2 linked regions of the Schizosaccharomyces pombe genome follow. The gene in region 2 interacts genetically with the main gene of each other region. Each region holds a gene or a part of one and is shown on either strand. Other genes may lie near its edges.

Region 1 (5,716 bases), on a different chromosome or scaffold from region 2:
TCAGCGTTTGCACAGGGCATTTGAATAATGTCATCACATACTTGTTACTCGAATTCGACGAGATCTAATCATAAAAGTTAGCAAATGTGTTTATAGCAGTTAAAGAACTACTTACTGAGCTGAGTTTGACATAGGGGGAAAAGATGGTAAAATTTCAAACCAGCGTTGCTTTTGGATAATAAAAAAAAGCCAATTTCCCAAAGAAAGTCAAGTATTTGTGCTTGCAAAAAAAACTTTCAATTAAGGCCGTTTTATCCTTTCTATTTGATACAAAAACGCTTTTTTCGGGAACGAAATAAATAAAAAAGAACTACAAAAGGAATCCTTAATCAAATTCGTGCTTTCAGCGCACAATTTTGAAATCCGTCGGATTTCGCGTGGTGTTGGCTGAAAGGAGAATTAATCGGTCTTGCAGATTAGATCCTTAACGCATTATAACCCATTTCCTTATATATATACAACGCGATTACCAAATTGTTCTTTATCTTTTTTGGCGTACAGAAAATACGTTTTACGTGTTAACTACGAAAGTAAATATCATGCAGCACAATGTATGATTTGCAAGCTATAAGCATTTAATAAATTGATTTAATACGAAAGAATGAGGAAAATGTATATCTAACCACTTTGCGTTCAAGTGATAGTTAGAACTGAGAAGAAAGAGAGGAAACGAAGAATTGTAAAAGGTACATACAAGAAGGCAAACGGAGTGCCGCGAATAAAAGTAATAAAGCCAGAACTTAGCAACAACTCTTAAACAGACAATGCTCAAAATTTTTATTTTTTAATTATCAGTAGTCGAGCATGCTGGCCAAAACAAAGTTAAGTAAACATCCAGCCACACGAGAGAAAGTAGAGCTAGATGGTCCTCAACATGACGAAAGAGTAAGAGCGATAAGTGCAGCGAAGGGAACGTGACGCTCCATTACATATACGAGACGGTGAAAAAGGAACGGAAGGAAAAGAAAAGGAAAAAGTACAGTATGTACATTTATTTCAAAGAAATGAGATAACGAGATTGGTTAGGCGACTGAAAGTAAAATTGAAATGGCTGGTCATAAAGACTATTTGCTATCCACTTTCAATAACAAGAAACCATGGGATGGAAAACAGGTAGCTGTTAAAAGTTTCATTTCGTTTTACACTATTCAGGAAAATTGGCTTTCCGTCGCATTTGACAAGAATTCGCCATTCTGTAAAGAAATGTACAAATGAAAAAACAAAGCGAAACGGCGAATGAAACAGAAATGATTGATAAGTAATGAAATGCAAATGAGAAAAGGATAAGAATAAACAAACCAAAGAGACTTTTTTAAGGGTTGTATCTCACTACAGTGAAACAATTGAAAGAAAAATTCAAAAGTCAGTCAAAAGATGAAGTCGATTTAAAAGCAATAAGTTAAGGAACCAGATGACATATTTAAGACTTTGAATGAAATGCAAGCAACGAAATTTTCTTAAAAAAAGAGGGCCATGAGAAAAAGCAAATAGTTAAGTTTAAAAAGAAAGTTTGAAAGAAGGATAAATAGTTTGCTAAATAACTCCTTTTTTAAAGAAAGTAAACCGACGGACCAATTGATTGTATGAGATGGTATAAGCGAAACCCATAATAATAACAAAGCTTTGCAATGAGAATGTGAATTTCTAATACCATAAAACTGTTCAAGCAAAAAGGAAATGAGTGAGTAACGGTAAAACAAAGAGATAGCAATAAGATTGAAAAGATCGATTACTTAAGATTTTCGTAAAAAACAAAGGTAAAAGCCGAATAAAGAAAAAGTTGTTATACGAAAAAGTGATGAGCAAGCTTTTCTTCGCAAGACTTTCTACCATCAATTGAAGGCAAGCGTAACTAACGCATTTATTTTAAGCGACGGATATATCCAGAAATTGTAAACAAATAATTTTTGCTTAAATCTATCGCAACAAGTGTTTAAGCGCATACTTTAAAACAGGTTCAACCTGCGAGCTTCCGATGACGACCGAGGAATAGAAACGTTGCTACTTGATGGGTTGTCAGCAAAAGGTGAATAATTGGGCTGGTTAGAAGCACCAGTGCTTGTTGGGGAAAGAAGATTGCTTTGAGATCGACTAGACAGAGCTGCCCTCGAGCCGTAAGAGGATTCTCCAGCTAAATCACTAGCCATGCTTTCACTGTCACTTTCAGGAATCGTAGCTAAAGGACCTTCTGGATAGGAATCTGAACCAGAACCACTGTGTTCTGCAGCTTCGGCCGCAGCTCCAGCGGCACCAACAGCAGGGCCTGACTCAAACGGAGATGCAGACAAACCTTCAGAAAAGTTGCTTCCATTAGATGGAGGCATTGTAGCTTCAGCTTCGTTAGAAGCAGAAAGATCAGGTGGATTTCCAATCGGTCTAACCATACGGGCTCCTTGAGGACGAGTAAAGCTTCCACCAGTATTAGCTGCATCAGAAGCATCAGCACCGACACCAGCAGCGGTAGCAGCTGCAATTGGACCAGCTGAATTACTACTGCCACCCAAAAGGCCGGGCTGAGAAGCTGCAGGCGGATTGGCTCCGCCAGCGCCGGCAGAAGGTCTAGGAGCAACAGGCCGTCCGTTAGTATTGTTTCCAGCAGCAGGTGTTGGGCTTCCATTCCAGCCACGATACCTGTTATTAGTAGAGGGAGCACGATTTGGGCTACGGAAATTGGAGGGTTGATTGGGGTTAAATCCGTATTCCTCGACTTCTTGCATGCGCTCAGCCTTAATTCGTTTGGACCGTTGATGCCTTTTCCAAAGAAAAATTCCTAAACCAATCAAAATTAGAACTACACCAACAGGAATAGCAACAGAACAACCAACAACTACGCCGACATGATTGCTTGACTTGTTAGATTTACTGGGCAAAGTGCCACTGGAAGAATAAGAAGAGCTAATAGGCGTAGACGAAGTGCTGGAAGTGAAAGAACTGGAGGAATTCCAATTATTAGTAGTAGTGGGGGTCACCACTTCAGAAACGTAAGAAGTTGAGACCAATGTGATTATTGAGGGTCCATCTCGATACGTACTACTGACAATGCTGGCTGAAGAACTCAAGCCGCTCGTAGTCATGGAAGAGCTGTGGTAGGAAGAACTAGATGATGGGACACTAGACGAATGGCTTAAGGAACTACTGGACATCCCACTGGAGGAACTACTAGCGACAAGAGAACTACTGCTGCTGCTAAGCGCGTGACTCGAACTACTGGAGGTCGGGGAAGCACTGCTACTGGAAGTCAGTGTAGCACTGCTACTAGAGGTCAATGAAGCACTGCTACTAGAGCTTTGTTGGCTGCTTGATGAGACCAAAGATGTGATAAAAGAAGAAGAAGCAGGAGAAGTAAAAGATGAGGATGAAAGAGGTGAAGACGATGATGAAGAACTAATTGCAGTAGCACTAGACGATGAAAGCATAGAGCTCGAACTAGAAGGAATCACGCTTGAGCTACTCAAACTCGTACTAGCAGCAGCAGAAGAGCTGCTTGCCGGAATACTGCTAGAAGCAGATGAGCTGAGGGAAGTGTCCACACTTGAAGTATTGTTCGTGAATGACATTTTCTCTTGCGTGCGAATTCCCTTACAGAAAGAAGGTTTTTTGAAGTTTTTAAAAGAACGTTGGATTTTTTTTCTAGAAAAATAATAAGATCTCGTCCAATTTCAATGTATCTTGATGAATTCCCTTAAAAGCACGGTGAAGAGTAAGCGGTAAAGAGAAAATGTCGCGGTCCTGCTTGGCTTTGCCTATAGGTAAGGGTGATGCACTTTTCAATGTGGGGATTCTTTCCGAGTTAGTTTCGAGGCTTTTTTTCACCTTACCAATATGTTACCTATCAATGCTCTAGCAAAGAACCTTAAAGTTACGAACCAGGTGAAATTTTACTAAGGCAAATTATTCATTTCAAATGGCTGGATAAAAAGAGATCGCCGTTAACTTGCGCTTAATGAGAAAGCTACCACAGTTTTCACATACTGCAATATTCATATAGATTTCCCTAATTTTAAATTACTAAACATCCGCAACAGTAGATGCCATTTACTACTGGCTTGAAACATATGGCTGCATTTGACACTATCGTTTCCACGCGGTAATTGAGTTAACCACCTTACATAGTAACAATGTATTGAAATTTTATTCATGCCAAATTAAATTGATATAGTAGAAAATTAGTATTATCGCTTCATCTGACTAGTAACTCCGACTAACAACCCATCCACGTTACTAAACCTGCTCTTAAGAGACAACTGCAAGTGTGGTAAAAAAATTTTGTAGTTGGATGCTGCTAAAGAATCACAACGACAGATAGAAAAGTAACAAGAATAGTTGCAGTAACTTGACGAATGATCGCATCTTCTAGACAAAAAGTCAGTTTAAAAGGAATCTGAAGGATTAGATGAATATGGAATGACAATAAACTCTTTATTTAATGAATGCCAGCCGTAAAAAAAATCAAGACAAATAACATATAAGTCATAATAACAGGAAATTGAAATATTGAGAGAGGCCCAGAATTGCATGAAGCAAAGTCCTTATGTTTGCGAATGTTTCAAGACACCATAGCTTCACACAAAAGTAGATGAGTTTAGATTAATTAAAACAGAAATTCTCTTCATCGAGGAAATTTAAGCGATTTACTTCATACCATCGCTTGACTTGTTGAGAAAAAAAACCATATAAGAAGTAGATGCAAAAGGACGAGAAAAGGGAATAAATATAATCAGACAATTGGGGTAAACGTTAAAAATTCGTAATTCTTGCAAAGAATTGAATGAAAATAGCAACTTTTCCAAAATAATAGTACATATAGGATAATCGTAACAGTTTAGGAAGTTCATAAAGTTAGAAAATCTATATAAAACTGTGAATCCCGAAAATATTAAAGTCTTCATCGCTGTTGTCCCAAGAATGTCCCATTAGCCGTCGCATACCGGCATCCTCAGCGGTTGCCAGTCGAGGGATAGACACCTGTGGGTGATCCAAAGGTTTGTAAATTGATGAAATACAAGTATTGTAAGAATGACATGAATTACATTTATGACCCAAGAAATGGTATTTCGTATCACAACGTGAGTTACAGTCATTGCAACGGATGGTAGAAATCCAAGTGTTATAGGGATAAGGCATGGGTTGTCGTTCAATTTCCATATCTAAAATTCGAAACAATGAATTGACATTAATGATCGTTTTGTAACAAGTAGGACAACGATAATTGGTTCTTATATATTCTTCATGACATCGCTGGTGCAACGGATGAGAGCAACTTAAAAAGATTACGCGTTCGCGAGAGTTAAACATGTATTCACCACAAATTGGGCAATTACAATCCGTACTTCTTTCGATGCAACGATGAGTATTGAAAACCGAAATAGGTAAACAAAGGCCACAAGTCTACAGCTGTTAGAATATGAGTTTAAAAAGCAAAGCATGTGCTAAAAGTACACGAAAGTTACCTTGCAGTGGAAATAATCATCGCCAAGACCGCGTCCTATTCGACAAATACCACAATCATCACAATGATAGCTACTTTTATTCGGATCGTCATCCCAAAGTTTGCACTGTTAAGTCATGTATTAGTGATATTGAACAAGTATCAAATAAAATATCACATACCTTATTGCAGTAATATCGGCCCATACAGTTCTTACAGTATTTGCAATATTGAGCTGCTGGTTGAACCTTGGAACATATCATGCAAAGCATGTTTTCTACGGCAGGT
Region 2 (5,838 bases):
CCACATTCTAGAAAAAAAGTTTCCAGTGCTCATTTTAATCCTTCGACTCTGTTGTTTCTCCTGAAACGTCTGGGCCATCCTGTATACCTAAGAGAGGGAGAGTAAAAAAATATATATTAACAAACAGAAAACAGGGTTTTTAGTAATTGAACACGCAAGAAAACCAAGGATATGCTAGTCCTAATCGAATTGCTCGTTCGTTGATCAATATAAAAAGAAGGTTGATTCAACGGGGTCCACAATTAAGGTAGTTCTTAGCGAACAAGAAAATTAACCAAAAATTGGTCTTATGAATAATTAAAGGAATTGGATTTATGAAAAGCTACTACAAAGCTGTTCCGCAATGAGTTATAATGCTGCCTACTTAAGATCTAAGGATAAAGGCAGTAGGTAAGTGTACAGAGAAGTGGAAATCTCTCTCTTTTTATATATATGTGGGTGTAAATACGTGTGGGGGGAAGGCTGAACTACTACACGTCACACAATAGGGAAATTCGTCAATAAATGACGCAGCTGCGAATCCCTGTTTATTTACGCTTGCGAAAAGACGGAAAAAATTTTATTCAAATTCTAACAAGAATGTAGTAAACAATGATTAGGTGGTGCAACGATTTACACTAAACCACTTTCAAATCAAAGCGTTAAGTGATTGTGAACGTATAAATAAAAAATGGGATGGATTGAATTTGGATTATATGTTTAAATAATTAAGTGGAATTTAACTAAAAAGTACAACAACAATATCATGAGACGATCTAACTGTCAAGAAAAGAAAAGGAACATTTTTAATGATTCGGTAACAACCCAAATTCTTCTATAAAAAAACAGGACTTTTAACAGCAGCCTTTTCTTTTCGTTTTATCCTTGTTTTCTTAGCTTCGTCTTCAAGTTAAGGTCCTCAATGGGCCATTGATGAATAGTAAATCAAAAGAAAGGAGGGAATAAAGGGGGGAGCTGCATATAAACCACAGCGTATCACAACACAATGAATGAATGGTGAGATGGCACGCATTTGCATAATTGACACTGAGACTGACATTTGAAGTGCAAATTACGCTTGCATACGACTTTGGATACTTTATGCTTATAACTTGTTGGTTAATAGTCGTCCGTTAAACTTTTCTCTTTCTCTGTCAATTTTTTTCCTCTTGTTTCCTTATTTCCTGTTCCCTTCTCCCTAATGGTTTTGGAAGAGTAAAAGAAATAGGAAACTAGAAAAACCAAAGACGTACTTGACTTGTTGAAACTTATAAAGGAAAATAATAACCGCAAGTATCTCCCGTGCTAAGATCAAGTTGGTGTTACACAATATTATACAAAAAAGAACCATCATTTAATTTATCCATACATTGCATAAATGAACCTGACACACCAAGCACACGTGTATATAACAGGTAAGCAAACGGTATATATATACGATACATAGATATCCAATACATATACACCTGTCCACTAAATAGCATGAAAAAGGGACAACAAAAACAAAAAAAGAACAAGAGAAAGGATAAAAAAAGAAGATAAAGAAAGGAGAAGTAAATAAAAATAAAGTAAAAAGAAAAAAACCATAACGTGCACAAATTAGGTAGCGCCAAGATCTAAACAAATTAAGATGTAGACCAGGTGAAAAGTGGTTTTGTGAAGATCAAACACCAATCGACCAGGAAAATAAAGAAAAGAGAAAACTTAGCGTGTTCATCATATTGAGAAAGGGTAGACAAATGTACAAAAGATCGCTACTAGACAATAGCGTCAAAGACACAAAAACAACCAATTAGATAACAACAAAAAGAAGTAAGACAACGAGAAAAGAAAAGGAAAAAAATAAAGAAAGAAATAAAACCAGTTTTGCCAAAACAACTATTGCATAGGAGTTTAGCCTTTCCAAATTATCTTATTAAATTTAAAAAAAAAATCAAGGTTTAGCCGATAAATCAAGCCAACTTTGCTTTCTTTCCCAAGTCCCAATTTCATCAATTCATAATTGACGGTTATAGAAAATAAAGATAAAGCGAAAATGAATAAGAAAAAAATATGAAACTGATTTGTCACTAACACTGCAACGGTTTAACACATATTGAAAACAAATCCAGTTTCCCGAAAGAAAGATAAAGAGAAGAAGAAAAAGTAAAGAACGAATAAAATAAGGGAAAATAAATAAATAAGATTATGCCAACAGAGAACCGACCATAAAGAACTTTTTATCGTTACCAAAATGATCACTTTTCCGATCATATGCAAAAGATTTGTAGCATACGATTATGAAAGTCATAAACACCATAAAGAAGAAATAATTTTTTGGTTGAATTTAAATAAAGTAAAAAAGAAAAATGTTGTTTTAGTTCAAATTTGTGACACGCAATATCTTTCTCGAATAATCCTGACTGTCAGCCAAAGATTCACTTGATTTGCGATTCATCATGGCAGGATCCAAGCGAGAATCTAATTCACTAGCATAGGAGGGATATTTTCCTTCATTTGCCGAGTCGCTCATTCTAATTTTGAATCTCCTGAAATAGAAGTATAGGAAAATGCACAATGCCATTACCACGGCGAATGCCACACAACCGATAACAATACCCACAATAGCACCTGCATTCAAGGACGTATGGTTTGACGCCTTGCTTGCATTTAGAGCGAGGGCAGCCGTACTGCTTGGAACTTCACTACTGGTTGAAGAAGAGGAACTGCTTGGTGTTACTGTGACAGTAGAAATAAAAGTAGATGAGGACATGGTCGTGATAAACGACGAAGACGAAGATGGCCGACTAGAAGATGAAGAGGAAGATGAGCTTGAAGATGAAGAAGAATGAGAAGAACTGGTGGAAGACGTTATTGGTACGGAAGAGGAAGAACTAGAAGACGAAGAGCTGGAAGAAGACGAAGAAGACGAAGACGAAGAGGAAGAGGAAGAGGAAGAGGAAGATGAGGAAGAAGAAGAAGAAGAAGACGAAGAAGAAGAGGAAGACGACGAAGACGAAGAAGAAGAAGAAGAAGAAGGAGATGTTGTTGTTGTAGTTGAAGATGAGCTTGGAGATGATGATGAAGACGAAGAGGTCGTAGACGACACTGACGAGCTAGAAACCGTGGTTTGCAAAACCCCATTGCCAGTCAGATAAACCGACCAGTACAGATCACCACCACACATAAGAGAACCATAACCTGGACAAGGCGTTGTGCAAAGAGAACTTGAAACTTCTGTAGCAGTAAGTGTACTACCGCAATAACATTGATTATTACGGATAGCTACAAATGCTATATTATCAGATCCACCACAAATGTTGTTATAGCAATACGCTGGATCAAGATAGGTAAACGTGCCTTGTTCAGTTAAGCTACTATCCACGAGATAACAGCCATATTGAGTGTTCATGTCAGCCGCCACCAACCGAGTAGAAATTATCAAAAGGTAAACAAAAAATAGTAACCTCCCCTTAAAGGGAGAGGAATTTAAAAAGACCATGGAAATTAAATCGTGCGTAAGTATAATAGGAATGAAAATTAAAACTTAAATTTGGTAATAAAAATTTTGCCCTCAGTAAATTAAGTTGTTTTGTCTATAGACTAAAGAGAAAACAAATTATTGGACCAGTTAAGAGAAATATTATCAAAAGGCGCAAACCGAATGAAAGAAAAGAAAGATTGGGTAAATAAAATAAAGAGCGTAAAAATTCAAATGCCAATGAAGAAAATAATTGTTGCAAAATCACTTCTTTATCAACATGAAAAAGAAAACAATAAAGGATAAAGGCTCAGCAACGCAAAATCAAGAATTATTAAGACCGAGCAGTTGGTGAAAAGTACTCAATATCCAACTTCGTTTGTTCCGAAATTAAAAACAGAATTTAAAAAAAGAACGAATAAAAAGTAAAGAGTAAAGATTAATTCAGAATTAAAAAAGAACGCGAATTCCTGAAGTTCAACAAAATACTCGGGGACGAAAGTACAAACCCGTACCGAACTTGGCTATCCACAGAGCTTCCGTTTGAATCGTTTCTTCGAGCTTCCCAGGCTTGAAAACTCCTTTACTTTAAACAATACACTAGTTCCTTAATAAGGATACAGTGTTTGACAGATTGTCGTCAAAAAACACTTAAGAATTCGATTAGTTGTTAAGTGGAAAAGTTAGCTCCGACGGGCCCCATAAAGGCTGAAGTCAGTCGAACCTAGGCGAACACTATTGACCCTTACCGAAACGGTATTTTTGCCTTATACTATTTAACGAATGAAAAAGGCTCCGATTGATACTTGGTTGAAACTGCGAATAGTGCGATGTTGGGTATCACTATTGACCGATATTGCCTGTTAAAATGACCTAAACGTTACTTTACATAACTCCTTATACTGTATTACACGTGTTATATATTAAACGCTAACTGATTTTACGATTATCTTCTTTAAATAGCAATAATAACTCTGTACACTGCGATATCACCGTTTTGTAGAACTTCTTTAGCTGCAGTATGCCCATAGCAGCAACTTACATATTCAATTGCTCCTGTAGTGAGAATAATTATTCTGTCTATTTAAATGAAGTTTATATCTTAAAATAAAAGATAGTTATCTTTCTGGATTTCCGGTTTATCTCTTGAATGGAAAGACACCATGTCGAAGTACCCACGGTTAATTTTTTACTTCACATCAATATGTACAAATCGCTAATTTGAATATGATGCTTAACCTAGAATAGTATATATTTATATATATATATATATAAATTGGAGTATTATCTCAAGTAAATAAGACACAGCTGATTAGTTTCTCGGTTTGACCAGTCACCCTGGTTTTCTAACCTAAACCACTTCTGCTAACTTTAACAATAGCACGTAAACTATCTTTGGAACCTTCATTTTCGGGATGACCAAGTCCTTTACCTGCATACCATCCTAACTTTTCGAGCAACCGACGACCTGGATTTTCTTTGCTAATTTCAGGGGCATCTTCTCCAACAATTTGGCCATCATATACACGTGTGGCTTTACTCGACCTCACAGAGGAAACAGTCATTCGAGATTTCCTACCAGATTTGGAAAATGACTGATACTCAACCCTGGTCTGTAAACGCTCCATAATCCTGGTAAGTGAAACCAAATCCACACTAGATGCATCAAATTTATGAGTTTTGGAAAGCATAGTATACCGCTTGTTTCCAGATCCATAACTTCTCGACTTCAAGTTCAAATCGTTGGCAAGCGCATGAACCAATCGACGAACATATTTTCTGCATGGAGGAAGGGAAATTTCTTCAATGGCCGAGTGCTTAAACTGTTGCATCCGTTGATAAACATCATTTATAAATATCTTATCAATTCGTGTAAGACTAGCATTGTCAGAATCGGAAGAAGACGGCTTCTGGCTTTCGCGCAAAAGTTTCTTTTTGCTTTTCTTTCCAAGTAGCCCCTCAGAGCGGAGTTTCTCCCTTTCCGCTCGTCTTCTTGCCTTTTTGCTTTTATCTTTAAGCCATTGTTCTTGCAATTCAGCGTACAAGTTCATGCTCTCATCGTCCAAAGAATTGGAAAAGGCATCTCCCATTCTAGCGGCCACAGCCTTTCCTGCCTTTCTCTCTAATTTCTTTTGAGCTTTACGCATTTTTTTAGGAAGTTTGCGATCTTTTTTCAAACCTTTTTCTTCTTTTACCTTCGCCCCTTTTTTGCTTTGAGAAACTTTTTCCGTTTTTTGAGTTGAGGGGTTATTGTACTCTTCATCCTCACTGTCATAATCATAAATAGTAAAATCATTTTGCAAAGTATCTCCAATACTAAGGTATGCCTCAATCTCGGAATCATCACTAGCATCAAAAATTGCCAAAAGCTCTTCTTCATCTTCATCTTCATCTTCTTC

Evidence for each region. Genes that interact genetically often act in the same process or in processes that back each other up.
Region 1: of wsc1 (region 2) and mtl2, extra expression of one rescues a mutant of the other (dosage rescue), as found in Schizosaccharomyces pombe (one study listed by BioGRID).

The regions. Positions count from the first base shown.
Region 1 is NC_003424.3:3,957,739-3,963,454, reverse strand, and holds mtl2 (protein Mtl2), read right to left. Parts: upstream 3,707-5,716; 5' UTR 3,558-3,706; coding exon 1,947-3,557; 3' UTR 541-1,946; downstream 1-540. Other genes in the region: HECT-type ubiquitin-protein ligase E3 Pub1, read right to left, coding at 42-64, 116-132; SPOM_SPAC2F3.16 (ubiquitin-protein ligase E3), read right to left, coding at 4,849-5,388, 5,451-5,555, 5,611-5,716.
Region 2 is NC_003423.3:1,297,156-1,302,993, forward strand, and holds wsc1 (transmembrane receptor Wsc1), read right to left. Parts: upstream 4,125-5,838; 5' UTR 3,461-4,124; coding exon 2,336-3,460; 3' UTR 521-2,335; downstream 1-520. Other genes in the region: SPOM_SPBC3D6.16 (uncharacterized protein), read left to right, coding at 1-105; SPOM_SPBC30B4.09 (uncharacterized protein), read right to left, coding at 1-78; sqs1 (G-patch and R3H domain-containing protein), read right to left, coding at 4,786-5,838.